2 linked regions of the Lonchura striata genome follow. The protein of the gene in region 1 binds, or shares a complex with, the protein of each later gene. Links are inferred from orthologs where the notes say so. Each region holds a gene or a part of one and is shown in the gene's direction. Other genes may lie near its edges.

The links. Proteins that work in one complex are often made in the same cells at the same time.
Region 2: the proteins of RABGGTB (region 1) and YKT6 are in contact, whole or in part, in a crystal structure (PDB 6J7F), measured with the Homo sapiens proteins. The link is inferred for Lonchura striata from reciprocal best matches to the Homo sapiens genes RABGGTB and YKT6. Residues at the interface, in NP_004573.2 of Homo sapiens: Thr3, Pro4, Gln5, Lys6, Asp7, Ile9, Lys11, Tyr37, Leu45, Trp52, Leu236, Asp238, Cys240, Arg281, Gly283, Asp284, Met285, Asp287, Phe289, His290; in NP_006546.1 of Homo sapiens: Lys60, Gln62, Asp63, Leu65, Asn83, Glu84, Tyr85, Pro86, Ser87, Leu153, Asn155, Thr156, Glu158, Arg189, Lys190, Cys194, Cys195.

The regions. Positions count from the first base shown.
Region 1 is NC_134611.1:4,027,079-4,030,822, reverse strand, and holds the start of RABGGTB (geranylgeranyl transferase type-2 subunit beta), read left to right. Parts: upstream 1-775; 5' UTR 776-857; coding exon 858-860; intron 861-1,313; coding exon 1,314-1,421; intron 1,422-1,587; exon of another isoform or gene 1,588-1,663; intron 1,664-2,418; coding exon 2,419-2,616; intron 2,617-3,744. UniProt on the Homo sapiens protein: Catalyzes the transfer of a geranylgeranyl moiety from geranylgeranyl diphosphate to both cysteines of Rab proteins with the C-terminal sequence -XXCC, -XCXC and -CCXX, such as RAB1A, RAB3A, RAB5A and RAB7A.
Region 2 is NC_134634.1:5,331,881-5,335,624, forward strand, and holds the start of YKT6 (synaptobrevin homolog YKT6), read left to right. Parts: upstream 1-1,460; 5' UTR 1,461-1,572; intron 1,573-2,370; 5' UTR 2,371-2,386; coding exon 2,387-2,490; intron 2,491-3,744. UniProt on the Homo sapiens protein: Vesicular soluble NSF attachment protein receptor (v-SNARE) mediating vesicle docking and fusion to a specific acceptor cellular compartment. Functions in endoplasmic reticulum to Golgi transport; as part of a SNARE complex composed of GOSR1, GOSR2 and STX5.

The DNA.
Region 1 (3,744 bases):
AGTGTCTTGAACAACCTGCCTCTAGCTAAGCCTACTTGGTGTAGGTGGGTTGTGCTCCATGATTTCAAGAGATATCTTCAAACCTGAGTAATTCTAGTAAGTAATTTCCAATTTCACTCCAAAATGTCCTTGCTTCTGTCTGGTCTCTTTCATGTCTCATCTGAATTTACCGGATGGTTCTACTGCTGTCATCAGGTATAAGCTCTGCCTGCAATCCTTACTTCTTGGGTAAAATACCTGGAAAATCAGTTCTTTAAAGAAAGCAGTTAGTCTCTATAAATTACTGATTTTCCCCCAAAACCCATAATGCAACATCTTTAGTAAGTATTTGACATATGTAAGAAACAGACCTTATTTTTGACTGTCCTATGCAACACAGCATTATGTTTAGTACTACTTCTTTGATGTTCCTGCCTGGTATAGTTCAGGGGGAACATGTGCCAGCATCAAGAGTTGGTAATCATGAATAGAGTCACCCAAGACAATTTTAATGAAGAAGCAAGAGAAATGGTTTTGAGCAAAAGGACAGCTATCTTTACCCATTTTACCTGCGACTAAATTCTTGGATTTGCTTTTTCACAGACCTGAGGAAGGAAACCGAAGTTATTTCTAAACGCTGTCCTATTTGCTGTGATGGAAGAAAGTGCACAGCTGGAGCAGACTTTACCTGCCGCACGTCAGAAGGCAAAGGCGGCTGCCGGCCCCTTGAAGAGCACAGCGCGGAGCAGCGGCGCCGCTCGGCCCCGCCTTCCGCCTCGCCGCTTCGCCTCTTCCTGTGGGGCACGGCGAGGCCCCGCCGGCCGCCGCCTTCCGCCTTCCGCTTCGCCTCCTCGCCTCCTCCTGTGCGTGCGGAGAACATGGTGGGTCGGGGCTCCGTGCTGCGGCTCGTCTGGCGCGCGGCTGTACCGGCCTTGGAGGGGCGCGGGCCGCGCCGAGCCGGCTCGGGGCGGCTCTCGCCGCTCCAGCGGCCCCGGGAGCGCGCGGGCTCGGCCGGGCCGCGCGGAGTCGTGGGGGCGCGGGGCGGCACGGCCGGGCTCGGGGAAGGGCTCCTGCGTCCGGCACTTCAGGGTGTCCTTGGCGAATTGGTGTTACTTCTTAGCTTTATTGCAAGGTTTGGTTCGTAGCCTTTCCTGGGGAAGGGTTTAGCCAGGCTGAACAGTGATGGCGTGAGATGCGCAACCTGACCTAGGCTCAAAATAGGTAGAGGGATGTTTTTTTCCCGAAGTCACAGCCACCGGTGTTGGCTCATTTATACCAAGTTGCTAAAACGTTTTGATCTGACATTGCAACTGACTTCTTGATGCTTTTTACAGGGAACACCGCAAAAGGATGTTATAATAAAACCCGATGCCCCAAGCACATTACTTTCAGAAAAACATGCGGACTATATAGCTTCATACGGAACAAAGAAAGATGATTATGTACGTATCAGTTTGTTACAGTGCAGCTGTGGTTTTGTTAACAGTAATAACCTTTATTTATTGGCTCAGATTTAAGGGTTAGATGCATGTTAACTAGCTAATTGTTTTTTACCCTGCAATCCAAAGTGTAAAACAAAGGTGCCCTTGTTAATGTCTCTATGTCTGTGGTGACTTTTGTCATGTATTATCTGACTATAATTTTGAAGATTATTATTTTAGCTCTATAATTACTCTGAGACCTGAGAAACAGCCTACTAGCTTCTTTATCCACTAGAATGCACAAGTAGAGTTGCATTTGCATGTTACTCTTTTGATGGGACAACTTACATCTATTTTGCAATCATAAGTGGTTGGATGTAGTCCACAAAAATGGAATTCCACTTCCGGCAGTAAAAATTGTCAATAACTGCTTACATGAAGAAAAGTTGCGGTTACCTTTACTGTTCAGAAAAGCATGCCAAGCACTTGCTTTCAGTTGTAGTGCATGTAAAAAATAATGTTTGTGTAGTGCAGGTGATGTAATCAATGCAAGAGAATTCAATAAAAAATTTCACTCTCTAGTGCAACTTTAAATTGTAAGGGTTTTGGCACTTTGAAATAGACTTGTTATTATCTGAGACTAGTTAGGGTGGCAATTTGAGGGCTTCTTTGGATGTCAAGATATTAAGTCATCTGAAGTGAATTGGTGCCCAACTACTTGTTCGTGGCTAATTTGACATTGAGCTTGATGGTTTGAACTAGAAAAATACAGGGAGGAAGGGAGTATAGTACGTGTTGATATCTATATGTACATTTTCCCATATGTATGAGTATGTATATACACATGTGCGTGATGTACCGAATATCTCTGAGTGGCTGATGTGTAGTTGCTAAATGGTTGGAAAACGATTCACTAACTAGAAGCTAAGATATTTGTGGAAGTTAACTAATGTATTTTCATTGCGCTATATTGATGGTGTGCTCATCTGATCAAGAACTAAAATAATACACTATTTAGGAATACTGTATGTCGGAGTATTTGAGGATGAGTGGTGTGTACTGGGGACTGACAGCGATGGATCTCATGGGGCAGCTGCACCGAATGAACAAAGAAGAAATTCTGTCATTTATCAAATCGTGTCAACATGAGTGTGGTGGAATAAGTGCCAGCATAGGTCATGATCCTCATCTTCTGTATACCCTCAGTGCTGTCCAGGTAAAAGTAGAAGGGTAATTTTAGAAAAAAGTGTTTGTGATTAAGTTTTTATGATTGTAGATTTATGAACCAGTTACTGTTGGAGGCCCATGACAAAAATTATTTCAGTATCTTATTTAAAAAAAAAAAATAATCTAATGGACAAAACTGTAGGATTTAGCTGTGTCACTTTCCAAAAATTGTCCTATTTGGGAATGTTTTACCTTTAATGGTCAATTAATGGTTACAGCATTGTTGCCAGTTTTGTAAGTTATCTTGGAATCCTCCTTAGCTACAGGTTTTATTGGAGCATTTTATAGATAATTTTTTATTTTATAAATTATTCTTAGTGCACGCTGAGGTGACAGATATGTATGACCAGAACAAGAGCAAATTTTTTTTTTTTATATGAGTTTATTTGGGGTGTATAATTGAAAAAATTTACTAATCTGTTGAGCATTTAATTTATTTGGTGAATATGCTCCCCCTGATAAGAAATAACTCTCTATCTTATTTTTTTCACTGCAGCTGTCTCTGTTATAGACTTATTTTCTCACTATTGCTCATGCCTTTATTTTGTTCTGGTTTTTTGTTCTGCTGATGCAAACCATTGTGTGAAAAAGTACCAAAAAGGCTCAAACACTTCTGAACAATTGGCTTGATTGCTTGCAGTGAGTGTCTTTCATTCAATCTTCTGGATGAAGTATTTTAATGATATTACAAAAAGTAATAAAGCATTCTTTTTTAGGCAGAAACTATGCTGGATTTAAGATGGTGGGTTTGAACCCCTTAGGTAGGACAGGATGCTGTAATGTTGATCATTATTGCCACTTTAGCTCTAGAATTACTCTGAATACTGTGAGAACCAGGACACTAAAGTTTTTCCAGGCTGTGATGTCTGAACATTTCCAAACTGTCCAATCCAGCTCCTTTCACATATTCCAGTTCAGTATAAGGGAGGTATAATTCGAGGTTGTTACCTTACAAATTAGATATGTTAGTTCTTAAATATGTACTTGATATTACTAGGAGATATTTTCATGTTAACTAAATTGAGCTGTAGCTGTCCAAAGTGAAAAAGTGTTCAGAAATGCTGATGTAAAATTTTTTGTGGTAAACTTAACCAGCATATCTTAATGCGTATGCATG
Region 2 (3,744 bases), on another chromosome or scaffold:
CCTGGGGGAGCCCCTGCCCTGCGCTGGCGGCTGTCCGGCGGCGCTGGGCTGCTCCGAGCCTCGCTGATGCTCCACCTTCGCCGCGCTATCTCATCGGCCGGGCCAGCGCGGCGCCCGCCGAGGGGGTCCCGGTGGCCTCAAGCGGAGGGGCCGGGAGCGGGGCCCGGGGCCCCAGGGCGATCAGCGCTGTGCCCGCACATCCTCCGCTCCGCCGGGGCTCCGGTCACCTCTCCCGCTCGCTCCCTTAATAAATCAATCCCGGGGCGGGGGTCCCAGCTCTGCAGACCCCCGGTGCGCTGGCCCGGCTCGGCCCGGACCCTCCCCGCGGAGCACCACGCCCCGGGTCACCCGTGTCCCCGTTGTCACGCCAACCGCTCGATGGCGGTGGCAAGCACTCCAGCGGCCGGCTTGGCAACCGGCACGCTCCCATGGCGACCGCGGGCACGGCGCGGCCGGCGGACCCCGCGGAGGGGCGCGGATCCGCCCCGGCGCCGCCGGGACCGGGCGGGGGGCCGGATTTGAGGAGGGGGATGCGGCACCCCCGGAGCCACGTGTCGCACCCGGCGTCGCGCAAATCGGGGACTGTGGAGGTCCGAGACCCCGAAACCTCCCGGCGCTGCTCCGGGAAGCGTCGCCCCATCCCCGGGAAGCCCGGAGGGGCGCCGGGGTGACAGCCCCGGGGGGCTGCGGGGGCTCCGGGCAGGGCACGGGGTTTGGGGGCAGAGCAGGGTCTGGGGGACACAGGGTCACCCCACAGCACCCCACTGCTCCCCCCGGCCGCACAGGAGGGTCCTGGCAGCCCACCCTGAGCGGTCCTCGCACCGCGGAGGGCTCCGAAACCCTGGGGAGGTTCAGCCCCTGCCCCCCACCATGGATGGACCTCCACCCAGGGCAGGACCGCCCCACGGAGGGGTCCCCACTGCCCACGGCGGAACCGCCCCACGGAGGGGTCCCCGCTCCCCAGGGCGGGCCCCAGCACCCGGGGGAGGCTGCTCCCCCTGCTCAGAGGGGTCACCACGCCATGGGGACGGGACCCCACACAGGGGACCCCCGACCCACCGCGGGACCCCCGGCCCACCCGGGACCCCCGACCCACCCGGGACCCCGCCCACCGTGGGACCCCCGGCCCACCCGGAACCCCGCCCACCGCGGGACCCCGCCCACGGCGGGACCCCCGACCCACGCGGGACCCCGCCCACCCGGAACCCCGCCCACCCGGGACCCCCGACCCACGCGGGACCCCGCCCACCCGGGACCCCCGGCCCACCCGGGACCCCGCCCCACGGAGCCGAACAGGCCCCGCCCCCGCGGCCCCGCCGGGCACAGCGCCCCCTGCTGGCCGCCCCGAGGAACAGGGCCACCCCAGCTCGGCGCTGATTGGCCTCCCGGGGGACGCCGGAGAGCGGGGAAGCGGGCGCCGATTGGTCAGAAGGCTGAGGGGGCGGAGCCATCTTGGCGCGTGCGCAGGCCGGGAGGAGTGCCACGGCGCCCCGGGCCGGCACTTCCGGCCGCTGTGCTCCACTTCCGGGTCGCGCCCATCGCCGCTCGGCCGCCGCCGGGACCGCAGCGCCGGTACCGGGCGGGCCCGGGGATGGCCCGGAAATGGCCGGGGCTGGCGGGGCTGGCGGGGCTGGCCGGGGCTGCTGGGGCCGGGGGATGGCTGGGGCTGGGTTGTACTGGGCAGTGGCCGCGTTACACTGGGTGGAGGGGCTGGGTTATACTGGGTTATACTGGGCCATACTGGGTTGTACTGGGCTGGGTTTTACTGGGTTATACTGGGTCATACTGGGTTATACTGGGCTGGGTTTTACTGAGTTATACTGGGCTGGGTTTTACGGGGTTATACTGGGCCATACTGGGTTATACTGGGCTGGGTTTTACTGGGTTATACTGGGCCATACTGGGTTATACTGGGCTGGGTTTTACTGGGTTATACTGGGCCATACTGGGTTATACTGGGCCGGGTTTTACTGGGTTATACTGGGCTGGGTTTTACTGGGTTATACTGGGCCATACTGGGTTATACTCTGCGGGGTTTTACTCAGTTTTACTGGGCTGGGTCCTGGGTTTTACTGGGTTATATTGGACTGGGTTTTACTGGGCTATACTGGGGTGGATTTTACTGGGCTGGGTGCTGGGCTATACCGGGCTGTGTGTTACTGGGCTATACTGGGCTATACTGGGGTGGATTTTACTGGGTTATAGTGGGTTATACTGGGTTGGGCCAGGCTGAGCCGTGCCGGGCCGGGCTGAGCAGGCAGGCGTGGGGCTGGGGGCTCCACCTGTCCGGGACGGGAGGGGGGTTTGGGGGAGCCCCGGGGCTGTCCCGGCCCGCAGGCCCAGCCCGAGCCCTCCGCCCTCTCTCCGCAGCCCCAGAGCCGCCGCCATGAGGCTCTACAGCCTAAGTGTCCTTTACAAAGGCGAGCCCAGGGTGCGCCTGCTGAAAGCTGCCTACGACGTGTCCAGCTTCAGCTTCTTCCAGAGGTCCAGGTGCGTGCCGCAGCCCCGGGGGAGCACAGGCAGGGCTTTGGAGGGTCTGCCCTCACTGCAGCTGCACTGGCAGCAGGGAGGGGCTGTTCCTAAGGGGGAGCAGCCCCAGGGCTGCTCCTGGGGAGTTGGGACCTGCTTGGAGTGAGGGATCAGCCTCAGCAGTGGAGTGAAGCTCCCGGAGCCCCAGCCAGCAGCGGGGCCCCACAAACCTCCAGCACGCCCAGGCCACAGAATCGGGGCTCAGGAACGCCTGGCAGCGGGGTCAGCTCTTCCCAGCCTACAGAGCTCTGCCCAGGTTATCCAGTGCCCTCAGGTGAGCTGGCTGAGCCCCAGGTGCCACTCCAGGCTGCCCACAGGGGGATCAGGGAGCTCCAGCAGCTCCTGAGAATCTCCTGGAGCTCTGGAATAGGTTATTGTTGCTTGGCAGGGTAGGGGAGTTAGGAAATTCCTCTGGGACCAAACTTTCCCTGCCAAGTTTTCTGGTGCCTCAGGCACGTCTGGTTCTGCAGTTCCAGGGGAAAGGCTGAAGTAAGAGTGTCTAAAAAAGCTCCTTCTCGGCCAGATGTGCCAGTGGCTCCAGGTGCACCCCACAGCACGCTGTGGCTGCAGCTCATTTTCCCAAACCCCCAGAAACTGCCCGTGTGGTCGTGCTGAGGGCTGCCCCCTCGGCGGGCTGTGCCCGTGCCCGAGGAGAGCTCCGGGATTTCCAGGAGCAGGGTGTCTGTGCCTGTCCCGGGTTATTCACGGGGATGCTGGCCCAGGTGTGATGTTCAGGGCGTGTTTCAGGGCTGCTCTGGGATAACCTGCTGGGCAGGAGTGCAGGGCCGGGCTGTGCCCGCGCCTCTGCCCGCTGAACGACTGCCAAGGAATTTGGCAGGGTCGGGAAGGCAGAGTGAGCAGCTGAGTGCCCAGTTCCTTCCAGAATACTGGGAAACAAAACCAGCACTCCCAGTGGAGGAGCAGTCCCTGAAGATGCATCCTGGGGTCTAACTGGCACGTAGTTGGACTCGCTGATGATAAATGTTTTAAATGTTTTCTCCGTGGTTCATGTGAACCCCTGGGGTGGTGGATGGGGGCTGGGTCCCTCCTCTCGGGGGGAGGTGTCCGTGCTCCCTCTCTGGTGAAGCAGGAGTGTTCAGGATGCTCAGGGATCCTTGGGCTGGACTTTTCCCTGCAGTGCAGAGTCTCTGTGGCGCTGGTGGCCGGGCTGGGAGCGGTGCAGACCCCTCTGAGGGATGTAAGCTGAGGCAATTT